Astyanax mexicanus: one gene and its partner. The protein of the gene in region 1 interacts with the protein of each later gene in a pairwise test. Links are inferred from orthologs where the notes say so. Each region holds a gene or a part of one and is shown in the gene's direction. Other genes may lie near its edges. The genes, in order: vps33b and vipas39.

Region 1 (11,425 bases):
TCAGAACAGACCTCTCCAGGGTTCACCAGAGAAGCTGGGTCCTCGTGTTCAGTGTAATATTCAGAGGTTGGCTCATAAAAACATTAATAGCTGTACTGAGTGCTGCCAGTTTTGCTGCAGAGGTTGAAGAGGTTTGAGGTCAGCCTGCAGTGTTCAGACCATACACCACACACTCCATCAACTCTGTCTGCATGGCTCTGTCCTAGAAGGAGGACTCTCCTGAAGCTGATGCACAGGTAAGGTGATGGTAAAGGTGAAGGACTGGCCAAGTATGCCTACAGACCTAACGCCTACTGAACATCTGTGGGGCATCCTTTAACTGGAACCTGGAGGTCTCAAACATCCACCTATCAGATCACTGATGTCGTCATAGAAGAGGATTTCAGTGGAAACCCGTGGCGCTCTAGTGAACTCACGTTCAGGTGAGTTAAAGGTCTGCTGAATAATATCTGTGATTTAAAAAAATATTATATACGCTTTGGGCACAATTGGTTTATTTTCACTAAGGAGTATCCTCATCATTTAGACACTAATGTGTGTGTTGAGTTATTTTGAGGGAACAGAAAATTGACACTGTTATACTGAAGTTGTACACTGATTACTTTACACTGTATCAGAGAGTCTCATCTTCTGTTTCTCAAGAAAACATATAAAATATTTACAGTAGTATGAGTTTATTCACTTCTGTGAGCCACTGGACAGTATATGATTAAGGATATTTATACTGTATTGTGACAATTTCAAACACTAATCTTTACAGTTTATGGATTAAAGCTGTTTAATTTATAACATATATAAATAATTTACCCATAACATACATACATTTAACATATGTAAATATAGCACATATTAACAAATTAATTATTAAACTACTTAATTAAACCTAGAATACAGTCAAACAATACAACTACTGACATAAAGGGATTTTAAACCGATGTATAACCCGTGATTAGGGTTTAAACTGAATTTTAAACCGGTTTATTGTGATTGCGCTGTTAGCTTTAGCCCTGATGCTAATGTTAGTATTACCTTTCTCGTTGCGGATCGGAACCGCCCCGGCGGTGGACTGGATCGGCGGCTGCTTCATGTTCAGCGCGTTCTGAGCGGACATTCTGAATCCGGTTAATAAACAGATTAATAGTAATAATATTAATATAAATGTTTATTAATCCGCCGCGGCTCCTGGTTACTCTCCTCTACACACCGCGGGCGGGTACAGCTCTTATATCCGCTCCGACTGGAAACAAAACCCGAACCCTGCAGTTCCTCCCGCTGCTTCTCTCAGGTTTATGGGGGGCGGATCCGCTAAAGGTGCAGTACCGCCCCCTGCTGATCCACAGGCATAGTGAGCTACAGTGTGACGTCATCATAAAGAAAAAAAAAACTTCCAAACAAAAGCAGAAGAACCGGTTTATTCACTTCACCCAGAACTCCTTCAGTCTCTACTGTGACTCTGAGCTGGAAGTGTATTTATACATTAAACTTGAGTCTTTTTACAGTGAGTTCACTCTGATCATCCTCCACCCTCACCCACCTCCACCCTCAACCCTCTCCACCCTCACCCACCTCCACCCTCTCCACCCTCACCCACCTCCACCCTCACCCACCTCCACCATCTCCACCATCTCCACCCTCACCCACCTCCACCCTCACCCACCTCCACCATCACCCACCTCCACCCTCTCCACCCTCACCCACCTCCACCCTCACCCACCTCCACCATCTCCACCCTCACCCACCTCCACCCTCTCTACCCTCGCTGAGCTCTTTTAGTTCAGAACTTTCAGATATGTTTCACCCTGAAACTCCAACAATCTGACACCAAACAAAACCTGCAAGTCCACTAAATGTACATATAAAAAAAATTACTTTTTTTCCACTGATGTAATTATTAAAATCTTTATTTCCTGGATATCAGCAGGATTTACAGAGTAAATTATAACACATATTATTACATTTCTAAGTACAGTACAGTACACGGTCTGGACTTTACAGCAATAAAGAGAAGAGAAGTGAGAGCCCTGAGAACAGTATAGAGTATAGAGTGTAAAGTAAAGTAAAGAGTAGAGTAGAGTATAGAGTAGAGTAGAGTATAGAGTAAAGAGTATAGAGTAGAGTATAGAGTAGAGTATAGAGTAGAGTATAGAGTAAAGAGTATAGAGTAGAGTATAGAGTAGAGTAGAGTAGAGTATAGAGTAGAGTAGAGTAGAGTATAGAGTAGAGTAGAGTATAGAGTAGAGTAGAGTATAGAGTAAAGAGTATAGAGTAGAGTATAGAGTAGAGTAGAGTATAGAGTAGAGTATAGAGTAGAGTATAGAGTAGAGTAGAGTATAGAGTAGAGTATAGAGTAAAGAGTATAGAGTAGAGTATAGATGAGTACAGGGGTGAATTAGAGTTAGATCTTGACGCCTCTCTCAGTGAAGAGCTGCTGCAGTTTTTCCTCCAGAACCGGATTCGTCCCACGCAGTCCTTTCACCACCTGCCCCGCCCACAGGAAGTACTCCTGAACCCGCTCAGCCGTCCAACCTGATACACACACACACACACACTTATAATTACACATCAATCAAGCAGAATATTATGACCACTGCAGTGATACTGAGGTGTTTAAAAACTCCAGCAGCACAGCTGTATCTGATCCACTTACTGTACCAGCTCAACACTCACTAACACCTCATACACCACCACCATGCTAATCACTGCAGTGCTGAGAATAACCAGCCAAATAATGATAATAATTACAACAATAATAATAATAATAATTATAATAATAATTACAATAATAATAATAATAATAATAATAATAGCTGCTCTGTGGTGGTTTTCTATGCTGTGGGTTCTGAATTAGGAGGAGAATAATAAAGATAAATACAGAGAAACACAAACAGTCTGTAATTATTATAGAACTACTGAATAAATAAAGGAATAAAGGGTTTTGGGGTTGGGGTGAGGGTTGGGGTTGGGTACCCTGTGGGGTGCAGCGGTTCAGGTCCCGCAGGTTGTAGAGTTTATCGGCGAGTTTGACGAGTTTGGCCTGGCGGCTGCAGTTCGGCGCGTGTTCAACCTGCTGCCGCTTTCTCTCCAGTTTAGGAAGAGCTTTATTATCCGTCACTTCCTGAACGATCCTCGCCACCGTGCTCCCGAACGCCGCCTCCAGCTCCTCCAGCGTCGTCTCCGTGTCCTCCACCGTATCGTGAAGGAGCGCCGCCTGAATAACAGACCGTTCAGTTATTAATTAATATCTCATTTACCTGTCACTCTGTTTTGACTGGTACTGTATAATAATATATTTTAAGCAGTATATTACATGTGTTAATAATATATGTTTATATTACATATATAATCTTTTGGCCAAGTTGACCCAGTATACTGTAAAACGTTTTTGCTACATAACTTTGTTTTAATTTAACAACTTTAATCGATCAGGACTCGCCTGTAAAACTTCAATATCTGTGATTCCGCCTTCATGACTCAAAATCCGCGCCACCCCTGTAAAAAGATCAGAGTGTAGATTAAACGTATTTATACAAATTCAACAGACAACATCATTATTTCAGCATTAATCAGTGATTTATATAGAAATAAAGAGTTGGGAGTGATCTGGTTTAACATGACTAAAGTTTGGTTGAGGGGGATTATGATCATGGTGTGGGGTTGTTTTTCAGAAGTTAGGCTCCGCCCCTTAGTCCCAGTGAAAGAAATTCTTAATGTTTAAACAGACCAAGATATTTTAGATTTCATGCTCCCAACTTCCAGAGGAGGTTTGGGGACGACCCCTTCCTGTTCCAACATAACTGAGCACCATAAAGATCATAACTCCATAAAGACCTGGATGAGCTGGACAAACACTCTTCTGGAAGAATGGTGAAAAATTCCCATAAACACACAAACACACTCCTAAACCTTGTGGAAAGCCTTTCAGAAGAGCTGAAGCTGTAAAAGTTTAACTGAGTTTTACACTAATCTGTATCTCAGGATGTGAAAAGTGTAACTAACACTAAATCAAACTCTGATAAACTGTACTGTAGAGTAGTGTAATGTAATGTATTGATAACTTTATTATTAATTTTATTATGAGTTATTGTGTACGGGGTGGTGAGTTACCGATGGGGTGGTTGATGTACGGAGTTTGCTCCGGATCTTTACGGCGTTGATTACGATGTTTCTCCGCAGCGAAGTTTATCGTCTCCAACAGAATCACAGCGTCTGAACTCATTTCTACACTTAGAAATAAATAATATAAAATAAAACAATATTAAAACTTCAACATTTTTCAGACACTTTTTTTCTGTGAACAGTGACAGAATTTAATTCAGTTTACTGAGCTGAACAGCAGAACTCTGTGCTTCTTAACCTTTTCTATAAGAGTATTTTATTTATTTCAGCTTTAAAATGTTTTATTCTGTAACCCTGAATCAAATCTAATTTAATTTGGGTTTAATTTTTTGCATTTTAAACATCTTTATGTATCAGCCTTAACAAATATATACATTAAACACTAAGTTACATATTAGTATTGATCTCAGTATTGATCTCAGTATTGATCTCAGTAATCTCCACAGGTCAGTAAATCTCTACTTCTTTATACTGGATTTTAAATCATAGCTGAATTTACTGTAATGAGAAATACACTGCATTTCTACACGAGATCTGCTGTAGTTTTACTGCTTTAAACAAATATTAGTTCACAGACTTAACTATACAACTTGTGTTTAAACTGTTTTTAAAATAAACAATAAATCAATTTTACAGTTTAGTTAAAGGACTGATTTCTGTTTCTGAGCTCAGAAAGATAAATAACCCAGATTATCAGCGGTTAAACAGAATAAAAAGCGGTTTTTATTCTGCGGTTAAATCAGTTAAAAAATAAAAGTGTGTAAAATAATAAAATAAATAAATCAGTTTAAATCTCGGAACCATTAACTATTATTACATGAGAAACTAGACCGAGAAATAAACTCAGTAAAATCACTCACCTGTTACAGATTATACTCCTGCTGTGATTCGGATTATTAAAGGTTTATTAAGTTTTATTTTATTAAGTTAAATCTGTGATTATTTTTAGCTCCTCTGAGGCGCTGCTGTTTCTGCTAAAGCTGATTTATAGCGAGACCGCTCACTTCCGGTATAACAGGAAATCCCTGCGCACCAATAGAGGGAGCCCGGGGGGGGGGTGTGAATAATTACTTAATTTATATAATTGTATACAGCAGAATAATGTACTTTACATCGTTACTGTATACTTTAGTTTATTTATGCAGTAAACAGGTTTTAGGCGCTGCAGTGCTGCTACTGTGAGCTGATTGATTAGTGAGCTGTTGCTCGAGTTGCAGTCAGAGCACCAATAAAAGACATAACCTTAAAAATTATGTTATCGATGCTGAAACTTGTGAAATTGTTCTGTGTTTCAGTATAAAAAATTTAAACTTTTATGAACTCTGTTTTTTGCTCAGTTGACCCATAATAATCTATTAATATCGGACTCCCTCAGGAGCGCCCTCTAGTGTCAGACAGACCCTGAACACTCCGCAGTGACTCCTCTCCTCGCTATAGGATCTCTGTTCTGCAGTGTGCGCCGCTGTAACGGGTCCGTGCGGAAACAAACTGCTCTGAATTCCATTTCTTCCGGAAACGGGGAGGAGGTGAGGCAGCTGCTGTATGTTATGTATAATATTTTAGATTTAATATTTTAGATTTATTAGGATTTAAAAGCTTCAGATAATTACATTTACATATAATATCTTTCATCAGATGGATAATGTGATTAATTATGGATAAAATCGAGAAAATGTTCCAAAAAATCCGGATATGCCGCTAAATCCATCTGTCAGTTTCTGCAGTAAAGAGAGATGTTTATATTTCTGTGTTTGTCTTAATTTTTATATTATTATGAGTCTCGCGCTTTAGCACTGCTGTGTTCTGTCTGTGAGCCGTTAAATTACATTTGTGTAAATGCTGTCTTGATGTAATTGATGTAATTGATGTTGTTGATGTAATTGATGTTATTGATGTAATTGATGTTGTTGATGTAATTTATGTAATTACTGTTATTGATGTAACTATGTAATTACTGTTATTGATGTAATTGATGTAATTACTGTTATTGATGTGATTATGTTGTTGATGTAATTGATGTAATTGATGTATGTAATGCAGGCGGCTGCAGTGAGGGGGCGCTGTGCTGGATGTCTGATGGCTCAGTCAGGGAGGAGAGACGCTCCGGAGCTTCCGGACTTTTCCCTGCTGAAGAGACTGGCCCGGGACCAGCTCATCTACCTGCTGGAACAGGTAACCAGTATAACCAGTATAAACCCAGTATAACCAGTTTAAACCCAGTATAACCAGTTTAAACCCAGTATAACCAGTATAACCAGTATAAACCCAGTATAACCAGTATAACCAGTATAACCAGTTTAAACCCAGTATAACCAGTATAACCAGTTTAAACCCAGTATAACCAGTATAACCAGTATAACCAGTTTAAACCCAGTATAACCAGTTTAAACCCAGTATAACCAGTTTAAACCCAGTATAACCAGTTTAAACCCAGTATAACCAGTATAAACCCAGTATAACCAGTTTAAACCCAGTATAACCAGTTTAAACCCAGTATAACCAGTTTAAACCCAGTATAACCAGTTTAAACCCAGTATAACCAGTTTAAACCCAGTATAACCAGTATAAACCCAGTATAACCAGTTTAAACCCAGTATAACCAGTTTAAACCCAGTATAACCAGTTTAAACCCAGTATAACCAGTTTAAACCCAGTATAACCAGTATAACCAGTTTAAACCCAGTATAACCAGTTTAAACCCAGTATAACCAGTATAAACCCAGTATAACCAGTTTAAACCCAGTATAACCAGTTTAAACCCAGTATAACCAGTTTAAACCCAGTATAACCAGTTTAAACCCAATATAAACCCAGTATAACCAGTTTAAACCCAGTATAACCAGTATAAACCCAGTATAACCAGTTTAAACCCAGTATAACCAGTATAACCAGTTTAAACCCAGTATAACCAGTTTAAACCCAGTATAACCAGTTTAAACCCAGTATAACCAGTTTAAACCCAATATAAACCCAGTATAACCAGTATAAACCCAGTATAACCAGTTTAAACCCAGTATAACCAGTTTAAACCCAGTATAACCAGTATAAACCCAGTATAACCAGTATAGCTGTGGGCAGTGCTGATGGTGCTGTGGCCGGAGTTGTGGGCGGTGCTGGTGATGATGTGGGCGGAGCTGTGGGCGGTGCTAATGGTGCTGTGGGCGGGGCGGTGGGTGGAGCTGATGGTGTGTTTGTTTTATAGCTGCCTGGGAGGAAGGACTTGTTTATCGATGCTGATCTGATGAGTCCACTCGACCGAATAGCCAACGTCACCACGCTAAAGGTAAACACACCATCACCAATACTCAACCCCTCAATACTCAACCCCTCAATACTCAACCCCATCAATACTCAACCCCTACAATACTCAACCTCCTCAATACTCAACCCCTCAGTACTCAACCCCTCAATACTTAACCCCTCAATACTCAACCACTCAATACTCAATCCACTCAATACACAACCCCCTCAATACTCAACACACTCAATACTCAACCCCATTATACTCAACCCCTCAATACTCAACCCCTCAATACTCAACCCACTCAATAATCAACCCCTTAATACTCAACCCCTCAATAATCAACCCACTCAATACTCAACCCCTCAGTACTCAACCCCTCAATACTTAACCCCTCAATACTCAACCACTCAATACTCAATCCACTCAATACACAACCCCCTCAATACTCAACCCACTCAATACTCAACCCCATTATAATCAACCCCTCAATACTCAACCCCCCAATACTCAACCCCCCAATACGCAACCCCCCAATACTCAACCCCCCAATACGCAACCCCTCAATACTCAACCCCTCAATACTCAACCCCCTACTCATACAGGTTCAGTACAGTTCAGGGGGCGGAGTTTAAATCATTACATTTGTCTTTTTCTTTTTCAGCAACATGAAGTGGATAAATTATATAAAGTGGAGCTGAAGCCGATCGTCAGCACTGCAGATCAGTGAGTTTAATTCTGCATTTTAAAGAATAAATTCATTAATATCTGATTTATTAATACAGTATTTTCTGTTTTTAGGCTCTGCTTTTTGATACGACCTCGGATACAGACAGTAAAATGGATCTCAGGTTTGATCTGAATTCACTTTAAACAGCAGTTCTGTAGAGATAAATAAACATTAGCAGTAATATTAATATTAATATTATTACTATTTAATTTGAATGTTTGCAGATGTAGTTAACCTGGATAAGGCAGCTGGAAGATTGAGAAGATATAAGATCATATTTACCCCTCAGAAGGTAAGAGATAATATTTCATATCTTATATTTATAATTTAGGGCTTATAATTCAATATAACACAGTATAATGAGATACTGTAATCAGGGGGATTGTTTAATGTTAGCTGAAATGTAGAACAGTTATCTTAATTAAAAGTTGAGATTTTATCCAATTAGAATAGTGGGATCTAACCCCAGAGTGCAACACTAGTGGAGGCGGGGCTTAAACACAACACTAAACCCACTAAGAGAATTTATACAGTATAATGTTGCGCTGTTAGCTGCTGCAGCAGAACTGGTGTTTAGTGCTCTCCTCCGAGCGTGTTCACTGATGAAGCTGCAGTGATTGGTCACATGATCGCGGCTGGGATTAATCGTGTTAAGATGTGAAAATGGTGAATATTCTAATGTGATGTTCTGCAGTTCTACGTGTGTGAGGCGGTTCTGGAGGAGCAGGGGGTGTTCGGGGGTAAGTGCTCTAAATTCACCTCAGATGTACCCTCAAATAAACAGAAGATTAAACACTGAATTACTCGTTTTATTTGATGTTATTTTTTGCAGATGTGACGTGTGATGAATGGGCTTTTTATCTCCTCCCGCTGGATGATGACATCATAAGTCTGGAGCTTCCTGAGTTCTTCAGAGAGAATTTTCTGGTAATGTTTTACTGATGTCGGCTGATTGTGTTCAGTGGAGGTTCAGAGGTCAGGTTTTAAGGTTTTACATCATTATTTATCAAACTGTTTTTTACAAAGACTGTTCACAGCTTTAAATAATCTTTATTAAATAATCAGATTAAATACAGTAATAAAGCTGCTGAAACTAATTAAAATAATAAAAATGAGCTTAAATCAATGAATTATAAAAGTAGCACAGCCAGTGTTGTTTGGATTTTTTCCAGCGAACAATAAATAAATCAGCAAATATATATGTTTCAGATATCGACCAAATCTCAACATAAAAAAAACTGTATAATTCTGATATCATAATGCCCTCTCCTAATTATTAATTGACACGAGATAAATCATTAATAATCATTACAATAGTCATTATTTTTTTAACTAATGTCTCGATTCAAAATATCTTTTTGTGTTGTTTAATAGTTAATCAAATTACACATGATTTTGATTGTTGATCAGCTGTATAATATAATCTGTTTTGATTAAACACTCATCCTGTATTGAGGTATTATTGTGTATTGTTGTCAGTTGTTTTGTATTGTTGTTTATGGTTATGTATTATTGTGTGTGTGTGTGTGTGTGTGTAGGAGGGGGATCAGCGGTGGGTGGGCGCGGCCGGCGGTGCGTTACGGCTGATTCACTCTCTATACGGACCTTTCTCTAAGGTTTATGGGATTGGGCAGTGCGCCAAGGTGAGATCTAATATTATATTCAGTATATTCTGTATTTTGGGTGTTTCTCAGTGTAATCCGGGTCTGTGTAATCCAGGTCTGTGTAATCCTGGTTGGTGTAATCCGGGTCGGTGTAATCCGGGTGGTGTAATCCGGGTCGGTGTAATCCGGGTCGGTGTAATCCGGGTCGGTGTAATCCGGGTCGGTGTAATCCGGGTCTGTGTAATCCTGGTTGGTGTAATCCGGGTCGGTGTAATCCAGGTCGGTGTAATCCGGGTCGGTGTAATCCGGGTGGTGTAATCCGGGTCTGTGTAATCCTGGTTGCTGTAATCCGGGTCGGTGTAATCCGGGTCGGTGTAATCCGGGTGGTGTAATCCGGGTCGGTGTAATCCGGGTCGGTGTAATCCGGGTCGGTGTAATCCGGGTCTGTGTAATCCGGGTCGGTGTAATCTGGTGTAATCTGGTGTAGATGGTGTACGAGTCGTGGAGGGAGCAGGTGGAGGACGGAGAGCAGAAAACTCAGCAGCCTGAGATCGGAAACGTTTTCCTGATCGACAGAGGTCAGTCTCATTTCTATTTTACCAATTTCTACTTAAATTTAATGTTTTTTAATTATTTTAAAATATTCTGAATTGTAGATTAATACTCAAGTCACCCAAACTATAAAGAAAAACATATGGAATCATTTAATAAACAAAAAAGTGTTAAACAAACCAGAATAAGTTTTATATATTGTAGCTCCTCTTAAAAATAAATATGAAATATTATATTGTTCAGTGTAGAATCAGTTCTGTAATCCTGAGCGCTCTCTGATGTTACTCTGATGTTCTGTAGACGTGGACTTCATCACGCCGCTGTGCTCTCAGGTCGTATACGAGGGACTGGTGGACGATATTTTCAGGATTAAATGTGGTGAGTTTCAGTTTCATTACAATAATAAATAAAACTGTATAAAACCTGCTGTTTCTCTTTAACAAAATAAACCATAAACATCACAATCTCAGAGAGAATCGGGTGTTTTTACTGCGTTTTATCTGTGAAAGTTCTGTGTTTACGTTACTCTAAAATACCATCAAACTCTGGGTTCATTTATAGCTAAAAATGATGAAATACAGAGTTTAGTTTAGTTAAACTGCACTTACATTTAAATCAGTCATACAGTAAACATTTAACCATCAGTCTGACCATTAAATCAGCTGATCAGAGGACTTTTCTTTAGCCTAGCGTCATCGCTAACGTTCTGTTCACCACAGAACACACTCAGTCTGTCTGACTGAAACTCCACTTATAAACGCTTAGACGAGGAGAGCGTCTGGACGGACAGAGCGCAGGAGTTAGCGCTGTTTCTGTGGTGTTGTTGGTGGTTCTGTAGCTCACTCGCTAAGCTAACCTCCAGTACAGACACACAGAGAAACAGACCTGATACTGATAATAAAAACTCACTTCTGAGAGAATAAAGACTTAGTTAACTTAATAACCACATAATGTTAGCCAGCAGCATAACCACTAAAAAGCTAACCGCTAATATGTTAATCACTTACAGTCTAGCCACTTACAGGTTATCAGCTAACAGGTTAACCACTAATAGACTACCCACTAACAAGGTAACAGGCTAACTGCTAACAAGCTAATCACTAACAGGCTAACTGCTAACAAGCTAACTGCTAAAAAGCTAACTGCTAAAAAGCTAACGGCTAACAAGCTAACAGGCTAAGC
Region 2 (11,353 bases), on another chromosome or scaffold:
AATACACTCTGGGTTTGTGCTATAACGTGTAATATTGGCACTGGTGGGCCGAGTACTGTAGATCAGCACAACAGTGCCAATATTACACGTTATAGCACAAACCTAAAGTGTATTATTGTGATTATACCACAGTTCCATTATCACTGTTTATTGAAATATTTTGATTTAAAGAGGATGAGAAAATACGATTTGTTTGTTTATAAAAACGAGTTAAAATAGTTTCATTGCTGCTCTGTTTGTAGCTGCGCGGTTTGGCTTGTATCGTTGCTAGGTTACCTGTATGTGGGGGAGTAACACATGGAGAGCTTAAGTTACAGTGCATTACTGGCTAATAATGTCACGCCTCTTAGCCAATCACATTGCAGGTTCGGAACTAACTGTGGTATAATGTTGATTTTACATTAGTTTTTATTATTACATCTCTGTCAGTTTTTTTAATTGAACATTAGAAAATACTTTATGTACATAAGTATTGGGACATTTGCTAATTTTTTGTTTCTTCAGAAATTAAGGTTATTAAAAATTACATTTTAACTAGATCTTAGAGCATTGCTGTGAGGATTTGATTGCATTCAGCAATTAGCTCATTCAAAAAGCATCCAGAGCTTATTTGTTTGAGGCAAACAGTATTTCATTGTGATTTACAATGGTCTAAAAAAACAAAAGGTGTTTGTAAGTAACATTACTTTAGCATCCTCTTATAAACTGAAAAAAAGACAAACTTAATCTGAGTTGCCCCCATGGATCAAACGTTTCCTCATTTCTCTTTTCTGACTTTGTCTTACTTCATTGTGTGTACAGAAGGTTATGATCTGGCCATCCCTGAGACATCAGACAATAGTAAGAAACTCATGGTGAGAACACGCAGCAAAAGGAAATTCCTCTTCAAGGTGCCTGAGGAGGAGCGAATACAGCAGAGGCGGTAAGAGATCTGTCCCATCTTTTCACGTTAATGACCATGTTCTCATCATCTAGTCCTTTAGAGCCAGTGGTTGATTGGTTTCATTTCTGTCTATATAACAGGGAGATGCTGAGGGACCCAGAAATGAGGTCGAAGCTGATCTCTAATCCCACTAACTTCAACCACGTGGCCCACATGGGTCCAGGAGATGGGATGCAAGTCCTCATGGACCTGCCACTGGTAATGGCTTTATATTATGCTGGGTTAGATCACAGAAGAATTGCAGGATTTATTGTAAAACAGCAAAGAAGAAATTACTGCTAGTTTTTTTTTTTCAGTTTAGGTGAACTGAGAAGGTTCTGATGTTTCATCAGCACTCATTAGTGTTGACATATATAGTGCACATATATCTAAAATTGTAGCATTTTCTTCTGAGAGCCACATATTCTGCAATAGCTCTACAGTCCTAATTAGGCACGTTGGTACATTTAAAATTCCATCGAGACTTCTAGAGTCACTCTCACCTTCTCTTTCACTGCATTGTACAACTCATCCCTTCTCTGCTCACCTTCTCTTCTCTTTTCCGTTGAGTAGTAACTTCTACTTTTCACCCTCCAACCCTTTTCCTCCTTTCTTTTTCACCCCTCTTCTTCTCTCTTACCCCCTTTGTGGTTGTGGATTTACCCTGGTCTCTCGTTGCCACGGCAGCAGCCGAGCGAGACTCCTTCCCCCTCATCCTCTCGCCACCACGCCCTGATCTCTCCTCCAACCAACTTTGAGCACGTCTATCACATGAGTTCCGTCTCTGCCGGGCTTTATCTGCAGAAAGAGCCCTCCTCGCAGCAGAGCCTTCCACAGCTCTCCTCCTCTTCCTCCTCACCTTCCACCTCCTCCCTCGGAAGGGTAGGCTAGCACCCTTTTCCCTCTTTCCATCTGCTCTTTCTTTAAAATCTCCCCTCCCAAACTTTCTTTATTTTCTCTTTTCTGCTATCTCCCTGTTTTATCATCCCCTTTTCTCCTTTCCTTCTTGTTTAATTCCTCAAAGGTGTGGTAGGTCTGTGCATTTGCACGGTACAGGGAGTGTTACCATTCAACATACTGTACACAAGGTGGTAGATTGCAACTTTCTTTCAAATTAAACTGTCCTGTGTATCAAAAACACACCATCATGTGCGTAAAATCACTGTACAAAATCAGAACAATGGGATCTGAGGACACATGATTATTACAGAGTACAACCATGCTATCTAGTGGTCATGGTTTAAACACAACAGAAAATAAACCTCTAACAGGCACTAATCTTTACATGTTATTAATTGATAGAAATTGTGAATTGATACAGTTTTGCAAAACATAAAATATCACAACTCTTTTTCAGTATTCCACCCTTTTACACCCTTTCCACAGAGGCTAGTGTTGCTCAGTTCATGCTATAAATGGACCTTGTTAATCAGCTGAAAAGCAGGACAGAAATAAGGAGCCAATTTTCAATTTAAGCTTTCGCTTATATCGGACTTACTAGATAGACATGAGCTGTGACCCACCAGTCAGGTTGATATTGGACATACTAGACCAGATATCAGCCAGACATAAATTATTCACGTTAAGTACTCTTACTTAGGGTTTTACTTAGCGTATATTATAGTGTTCGTGTATGACCATTTCTATTGTACATTAACAAGTACATGATATATATTGCTGTACAATGCAGCAGTTTGACTTTCCTTGACGTTCCTTTAAGTTTTAAAGGTCACCTTCCGCGAAAATCCGATTTTTCTTGTTTTTTGTGGAATACAGTAGGTCTCTCCGAGTTGAATGTGTACACCTGCACATTAAACTGTTTTGCAGCCCCCATTGTCTGCAGGAGCTAAGCAAAGAAATCCCCCCTCCCCCCCTCCGAAAAACGGGTGAATTTTGAATTATCTTTCTGCCTACGTAGGCAGAAACTCACAGACCAGCCCACCTTGGCTCGAGAAACTCCCAGAGGCGGAGCTGAAGCGACGCAACATCACCGCTCATCAGTTAGGAGGTGGGAGGCAGTGAGCGGCAGAGCGGTGGAGGGGCGTCGCAGTGCTCCTAGCCAATCAGAGGAGAGATATTTGCATTCTGTTTGCATGTATGAATATTCATGAGCAAAGCTGGAATCCGGTCATTTTGGACACACCCCTAAAACAGTCCATTAGAAAAGAGCTATACAGAGACACCTGAGCACTTTTTTTTTACAAAAACGGCTCACATGTCATTCATTCATACTAGAGACCACAACTAGACATTTTAAAATGAAAGAAAAAAACGACGGAAGGTGACCTTTAAAGAAATGGCTTATTTCATATAGATCTTCATACACGCACTGCTGAGGAAAAAAAAATCTCTTAAAAAAGAAGCTATATTAAAAATGGAAAGAAGTTTTTGACATTTTGGGTGGTTTTAATGTATATATAATTTTGAATGTGTACAGTACTCTAAACTACAATCTGATATAATTATATTAAAGTATGAGGATTTATTCGGTTAATATTCTACAGCTAACTATTTGGTCATTCTGACTGATTTATAATTCAGCTTTTTACTAATGATTTGTTGCACTATGAAATTGAAATTGAAGACATGAAGTTGACTTATTAATGGTTAAAGATGTCTGAAACCATGCTGGTTTTAGGAGTAGAATAGGTAAGGGCTATGAAACTTTCCTCTGCATCTAATGCCGGTATTTGTGCTCACTGCTACAGAGTGTGATGCCCTCTTCTCAGGATGACTCAATTAAAGACAAGCCACGTCCCCTATCTAGTATTTCACGACAACAATGGAGTAAGACCCACATCACACGCACTGCCTCCGGTTAGTAATCTCTCACCATCCATGTTAGTACTTTTATGTGTCTTTTCTATTGAAAGGGTGTTTTCCTTAGTTATAGTTTATTGATCATGCTTGTATCTATAGGGGGTGGTGACTTTATTGGAGCTGGGTCATCTCGCAACATCTCAGATCCAGATCAGGACTTCGAGAGAGAGGTAAAAAAAAAGGCTGTTCTTTACTTGATTCATTGCTGCTTTTACAAGCTTTGATCATATGCTGACCTCGGGTACAGGAAAATGTTCCATTCCAGTTGTTTTTGGGTGCCCTTGTTTTATGTTCAGCAATAACTGCCCCAGTTCTCATTGTCAGAAGCACAGCAACAGTAAACCCTCAGGCTCTGTTGCACATTCACTATTTTGTAATTTCAGCCTTGCTTAGGATCACCTTTATCTAGTCTCATTTTTTCCTTCATGTCTTTCTCTGCAGCCTGACTCAGACTCCACCAAACACTCCACCCCTTCCAACAGCTCTAACCCCAGCAGTCCCCCCAGCCCCAACTCTCCGCATCGCAGCCAGCTCACCCTGGATGGTCTGGAGCATACTCTGGATGGCTGAGAACGAACATCACCCTGCTTCGGCGCACACCTTCACTTTTAATACACATTGCCCCCGCCCCCAGCTCTCCGCTCCGCTAGAATTTGCTACAAAGTGCCAACATTCGAACTCTCATCTCACAGTTCGTATCTCCACACACCTGCGCCACCTTTGCAGCCAAAACTCTCTGCTCTCCAGGCTGCTTGCCAAGAGAATTATAAAACATACCCTGGATGGAACTGGGATACTGAACCGCTGTCGGAAAAACTTCTGTGATGTGTTCCTAGTGGAGTGTGATGTCTGGCTCATGCCGGCCAGTATGAGAATCAAAGCTCCAGCCAAGTATGGCCTCTGGATGCATATAATGACTGCCCCCTGCTGGAGCCTAGGTGGTAGTGTAGCTAACAGGGTCTAATAATCATCAGTATGTTTTTTCTTTTTCTTTTTTAATCTCAATGCCATACTCTTGTGAGGGTTGTTTTTTTTAACTCATTAGAAATCATGCAAATAAAAATGCCAGAAAATGCTGTTAAAATGACAAGTGAGGGGAAAACTGGCTTTCCTCTTTTAAGTGTGTAATAATTTGGTGGTTGTGTTCATCACTCATCATGTGGGATAGGAGGACCTGGAGACACCCTTCCCTCAGATAATACAGCTGGACCAGTAATGAAAACCCGTTTTGCTATTCTGTATTAGCGACACTTCTCTACGTAGTTGTGTCAGAGCAGTCACAAAGAGGCATTGACACTTATCCGACTGGGGATTTTAAGCCAAACCGGTGGGCACTTTTATTGTAATGTAAATCTTTTTGTTTTGTTTGTTTTTTTCCTTCCCCAGTCTGCATTTTTTTCAGGCATCCTTTGTAATATTCATGTTTTAACTTAGACGTTTGAGACAAACAAATACTTAGCTGATGGAACACTGCTCATTTCCATAAAGAAGTAAAGAAACTGAAGTAAAGAGAAATAAGACTTTACGTATAGTAAGTGTTTTAACAAGAGTAATGGCACACTGCTAAAGGACCACACTATTCATAGGATTTCAATAGTTCTTCTGAAACTGCTGCTGCTTTTGTGTGCTAATGTAAAGAAATAAATATGTGATTTAAGATTCTCACCATAGCCGTGTTCGATCCCTAGGTTTTACATTGTTGCATTAAAGGAGCAACTACAGGTTATCCTTCATGAGTTTCTGGAACGTAGACAGTATCATTTAATGTGGCGCTCTCACGTATGTGGTGGAATCAAAGCACCACACCACCACAACGAGAGCTGCGGGCATGACCGTCATATCCATTCTCTCACTAGCGTGCCTTCAGTGCCATTCTGTGTTACAGCAACACATTGTCCGCTAAAGCATTTCAGTTGTTTTTAACAAGACAGGCTAATGGTGATGTTTTATTTTGTGTTCCCCTCCCCTCACCCTGAAACACTGTATGAAACTTGCACATGAACATGTTTTAGTCCGAGGAAATTTCTTTTGATTTTGTCGATGGTATTCCTGTCTTTTCCCTGTGCCCCTCCTCCCTCCCTCTCTCCCCTCCACTTGACTTTTCAGCTTCTTAAAAATGGGACTTTATTCTCAGAACACTACTGCTTTTACTTCACAAGAAAACAAATCACATGTTGAAATCTTTGTAATTATTGAATTGTTAGCCTCATAAATTTGAACAAACAATAAAAAGAGTATCTGTTGTGCTTTTTTTTTTGTCAAACTGGTGTGTATTATGGAAGCAAGTTGGAGCTGCAGCTGGACATTAAATGAATCGGTTATTTTCCATTATTCATTCACAAGCATTACCTGCCTAATTCAGAATACTAAAATAGCATATGATTATTTTACGTGTCGGTTGACACTAGGCTTGGTAGCTAGCTAGGTTAGGAGTCTGAGGTCTGCTGTACTGGGGGATTCTTGAAACCAGAGGAGATTAGTATAAGAGTATTTCCTTGCCACAGTGGCCACCATCCCCGTCTCACTGTTACCAATATCACTGTGGTGTTAATCAGAGGCTTGGACCCGTAACTCGGTAGAGCAGCCTTTATTTGACATTTGTTGTGTAAAAAATAATAAAAAAATGTTAATGTAGGTTGTAAAAATGTGTAACATAAATTTAAAATAACTCTAAATGTCTCACATCGATTTAAATATTACATTTCATTTTCAGACTTTTATTTTGGAGGGTGTCTGAGCCAACGCTGCCCGGAAGTGATCAGCTGACGTTTCATGGTTTTGATTAGGCTGCAAAATCTCGAAGGTAACTTACATGAGATTTCTGTTTTTAAGCGCTTGCTTTCTCAGTCTGATCTGAGTGTATAAGACTTGTGTGTGTTCATACGGCTGTAGTTATGTATTTCTGTGATAATACAGTAGTTGTATAAAGGCGCGGCTGTGTTCTGTGAGCGCTGGAGGGCTGTGTTAGTCCAGACTGACAGCTGGGAGCGGAGAGACCGCGCCGGGGTTAAAAAGATACAGAAATAGACACTAATAAACACAGAGAGATATTAATACATACTGTACTTAGTGAACCCCGCTGTTTAATCTCTGTTAGACTGTCTGAATTAGCCGGTTTTAATCATTAAAGTGGAGGCGAGACCTCAGTATAATGTAAACAGTGTTCAGCTCAGCAGCGCCTTCTCCTGTGTTCTCCTCTCTGTTCACTGTGTCTGTGTATATCGGTCTAGATGAGCAGAGCCAAGCCAGAGGACGATGAGTACTGGAACAGCTCCAAGTTCAGCGCCTTCACCTTCGATGATGAAGATGATGAGTTCACTAAGGTGAGCTTTAGTAACTGACTGGTTAATCAGCTCCTGCGCTCCACCTTAAATCATACAGCAGATATACCTAGATAACTAACTTACCAACACTGGCGAAGCCTCGTGATGATCCGGGACAGTTTTACATATTAATAAGCTTGTGTTTTTTATTTTATTCAACCTAGTGCTGGGTAGTATATCGCTTCATCCGATATTAATACCGGTTTTAATATCCTTTACGCTGTTATTTTTTTACGTACCGCTAGAGGCGCTACAGAGCACTGCATAGAAAAGCACTGCCGAAAAACACACTGCTAAGCTAAGAAAAAAGTTCCTTTCGTCCCCCCAGACAAGCCCAGAATTATGGAAGCCCATTTCCGCCACCTGAAGAAAAAAAAAACGTCCTCAACTAAGTCTTACTATCCCATAATTATGACTTTTCTATCTCATAATTATGACTTAGTTGAGGACGTTTTTTTTTCTTCAGGTGGCGGAAATGGGCTTCCATACAGAATCATTTATTCAGCACAAGAAAAAAAAATCCCTAAAACTCTGGATACAAGGTAAAGATAAACTAGACCAATAACTATAGCCCCTTTTGAATATATTAATTCTGTAGCTTAAAGGATAATATTAATGCACAGTGAACCGTATTTATTTGTTAACTGGAGAACCAAGAGAATTATAATAACCTGATAAACAGCAGCGTAAATACTGTAATGCTTCTAATGGCTTCAGTAATAACATATTGTAATATTGTAATTGATATTAAACCTGTGTCTTACTTGTGTATTAAAAAATGTAAGAAATATCTCTTTGAACACTTATATTTTAAGTGTTTCAATTCCATTAAAAGTGTTTATGGAACTATTTAAAATATTAAGTTTTGATAAAAAAAAAAAAAGATGTGTTTAAGTTGTTGGTGTATCTCATTTTAAGGCCCATTGTTTACATTCTTTAGCTGTTTTTTCTGCTAATGCAGTCTGATTACTTCATATATTGTTTACTTTTTTACATTACATTTGACAGATGCTTTTGTCCATAGCAACTTTCAATAATGATGTACATTTAGTAATAGGCAAGTTTAAGGTAAAAAAAAAAAAAAAAACATTTTTAGGTTGGGCCTAAAGGAGGTCAAAGGGAAGTAGTGGGATTGAGGAGGAAAAGAGGGTAAGAAGGAAATGAGGTTAGAAGTAGTTAGTTGTTAATGTTTGTTAGCCTTAATGTTTTAAACAGTACAGTCACAACCTTATATTAAAGTCAGTGTTAAAAATATAAATAAATAATTAAAAAAATGTCGTGCTATACTGTGAAACCATCAGAATATTGAAAATATGATTTTTTTTTTGGTCATACCACCCATAAACCATAGTTCTGATATGACTGCTAAAACAAACTTTTAAAATACAAGTTATAATATTGTGTCATTTACCTTTGTTAAATCAAGATTTGAACCTTAAAATATTTCCAGTCATGTGCTCAGAAAAAGAAAAAACATGAATGAGCTGCTCACTTTATTTATTAAATTGTAAGTTTTACATCAATATTCAAAAATGTGTCTGGGCTCTCATGAGTTAATGTTTGGACAGCCTTTGTGTTCCCTGTAAAAATGTGAACAATATAAAACTGCCTGGCCTGCGTGATCATGTGGTGCTCACATGGGTGGAACATGGGCAGATCATGGGTTAGGTGGGTCTAAGGGTGAGTCTGTGTATCTGTTGTTACTGAACCCCCATCCTTACAGCCCACCTTAATATCTATTGGGTCTAAACTAGGCTTCATGTAAATTTTGTAACCTAAATGTATAACCTATTTTTTTAAACTCTCAGTTGGCCTACCTATACAGTCCCCACAGGGGCATGCTTTTGTGTTCTCTCTCACACATTTGTGAAAGCTATGATTACCCCTCTAAAGCTAAGGCAAAAACACTTTTTTTATGAATACAGTTTTCCACTCAGTTAGTGAGAAATTTTAGAGAGACTAGAAGCAGCATTTACAGCCCCCAGGAACAAAATAGACAAAAGGAAAAGGTGAACATGGAATTTACTGAGATTATAAATACAGTGCATACATTTGCAACATGTCTACCATGTACTGTCTAACTTGTCAATGAAGAAACATAAAATCTCTCCACATTTCATGGATTATAAACTTTTTAAATATTATTAGTAGTAATAATACTATAACTATAATTAATTGTTTATTTTATTCTGCTGCCGATTTTGTATGACGTGTCTTATTTGTTTTTGGTTTTAATGAATGAAACATATAATATAATAGGATTATGTCTAGATTTTTTTACAGATAAAATGAATAGGATGCAAAGGTTTGTAAGCCCTTCTTGTTTGCTGATGCAAGTACACAACATGTAAACATATTTCCATCCTAAACCAATAGAAGTCAAGATCACTATTCGTCTCTACTACAGGAATGTCCAGAAAGGCCACAAATTATATATTTTTCCTGTACTGTTTTCTTGTCATCAAACCTTAAGTTCATGACTTCATCTCAAAATAAATTGTTATAATCTTGATCAGAAAAAAAATGTTTTTTTTAGGAACCAACTTTAATTTAGAGCAGACAAAAGTACCACAGAATAATGGTATAGAAAAATGATTCAAGTAAGTTTTATAAACTTCCAAAACATCACAGTGATCAAAGGTTTTTTATATTAAAAAAAATGTTGTAAACCACAACATTGGAAAATGGGAATTCTGCTTTGTTTTCTTGTTTACTCAGATGAAAGAATCAAAGCGTGCCGTGAACAGCATTCTTGTTGATGATGATGACGACGACGATGATGTTGAGAAGGTCAGCTGGAGTGGGGAGCCTATTGGAAGTAAGCCAAATCTCACTCCCTGTTTTTTTTTTTTTTTTTTTTTGCCTCTTTTATAATATACACCAAGGGTGCTCATCCCTGGTCCTGGAGATTTACCAGCCTGCACTATTCAGTTTCAACATACTGGCTGTAATATGCAATAAAGTATTCATCATCTGGGTCAGCTGTGGACCAGGAATGAGCACACCTGCTATAAAAATGTCTGCAGGTATCCAGACATGTCTGTTCTGGCTTTGCTGGTAATTAAGAGTTTAATCATCAGAACGTTACCTCACTAAAGCTGTAGTGGCTGAATGCAGTCAAGTCCTCACAGCAATGTTTCAGCATCTACTGTAAAGCCTCCACAGATATGTAGAAACTACCAAACACAAAAGGAGCACAAAGTTGTTCCTGTTACCTTTAATTTCTGAAGAAACATTGAATGGGCACATACCTATGAGTGTACGGCCATTTAGCATGTACCTTTTGTTATATTGGGACTTTACACAGGGATTTACTGTTGTTTTGCAGGTATCTCCTGGTCAGTCAAAGAGACGGCTTCCAGCTTTCGTTCCAGTGGGGAACAGAGCTTTCCAAAAATCGACACTGCCCCCTCGTTGCCTAAACAGGGTTCTGGTTACTCCTTAAGTTCCTTGTTCAAAGGTACTCAATAGATCATTATGTATTGATTGGAGTAAACTAACCTGTGTGTGTTTTTCTCCATGTGTGGCTTTTTTTCTAACTCATTGCTTTTCTTCCAATAGCAAAGAGCAAGCCCTTCCAGTCATTTTCGGAATGTGAGTTAACTTAAACCTGCATCATCAGAACTAAGTAAATTGTATTCATTATATTTTATATTGACCTGCTTCTGTTTCTGTGTCTCCTAGCTTTTACTGATACATCAACCAGAGCTTATGCACCAGAACTGCGCAAACCGAAGTCGGAGTGTAAGGTGTGTTCCCACTCTTTAATCTGCTTTAATCCAGATTGCAGTAGTGGAGATGTATTAACTGGCTTTTATTACGTGTAATTTCAGGATTATATGAGCGACTGGAGCCCTGAGGAGACAGTTCGACGGATGCGGAAAGGAAGGGTAATGGGTGGCCCAGGGCAAAATAATTATTTCTTGCATTACATTTGACTCTAGGTTAAGTCTAAACCCTAAAGAAAACCAAAAGCTTATTCTATCGGCTCTCTTTTTGTTCAACCTCAAAACAACTAGGGTGCATCCCAATTGCATATTAATTACTAACACAAACTAGTTTTTAAAGATGAATATGGTATGGATAAAGCTATTATATATACATAATACATAGTCAGACCCATCTGTTTTTTTAGTGTGGTCACGATGCACAGTGCTATGAAAACAAAAAAAATAATGTCAATGAAAGAGGCTTCGAGTGGTCCAGTGGTCATAGTGGGCTGCCACTATTATCGCAAGATTGTTGGTTTGAATCCCAGTTTTGCAGCTTTCCTGCGAACTCGCTGTCT

The links.
Region 2: the proteins of vps33b (region 1) and vipas39 interact in binary tests that used the Homo sapiens proteins (3 or more experiments, as listed by UniProt). The link is inferred for Astyanax mexicanus from reciprocal best matches to the Homo sapiens genes VPS33B and VIPAS39.

What each region holds. Positions count from the first base shown.
Region 1 is NC_064430.1:134,423-145,847, forward strand, and holds the start of vps33b (vacuolar protein sorting-associated protein 33B), read left to right. Parts: upstream 1-5,515; 5' UTR 5,516-5,642; exon of another isoform or gene 5,643-5,656; intron 5,657-6,156; 5' UTR 6,157-6,192; coding exon 6,193-6,288; intron 6,289-7,318; coding exon 7,319-7,399; intron 7,400-8,021; coding exon 8,022-8,083; intron 8,084-8,158; coding exon 8,159-8,208; intron 8,209-8,311; coding exon 8,312-8,379; intron 8,380-8,781; coding exon 8,782-8,827; intron 8,828-8,919; coding exon 8,920-9,014; intron 9,015-9,625; coding exon 9,626-9,730; intron 9,731-10,178; coding exon 10,179-10,269; intron 10,270-10,543; coding exon 10,544-10,621; intron 10,622-11,425. Other genes in the region: mfap1 (microfibrillar-associated protein 1), read right to left, coding at 1,030-1,111; hddc3 (guanosine-3',5'-bis(diphosphate) 3'-pyrophosphohydrolase MESH1), read right to left, coding at 2,396-2,526, 2,968-3,208, 3,434-3,489, 4,105-4,216. UniProt on the Homo sapiens protein: May play a role in vesicle-mediated protein trafficking to lysosomal compartments and in membrane docking/fusion reactions of late endosomes/lysosomes.
Region 2 is NC_064408.1:71,537,518-71,548,870, forward strand, and holds the start of vipas39 (spermatogenesis-defective protein 39 homolog), read left to right. Parts: upstream 1-6,444; 5' UTR 6,445-6,545; intron 6,546-6,972; coding exon 6,973-7,065; intron 7,066-9,783; coding exon 9,784-9,883; intron 9,884-10,393; coding exon 10,394-10,525; intron 10,526-10,626; coding exon 10,627-10,659; intron 10,660-10,749; coding exon 10,750-10,814; intron 10,815-10,898; coding exon 10,899-10,955; intron 10,956-11,353. Other genes in the region: cdc42bpb (serine/threonine-protein kinase MRCK beta), read left to right, coding at 802-922, 1,024-1,141, 1,610-1,804, 3,631-3,739, 3,842-3,912, 4,184-4,312.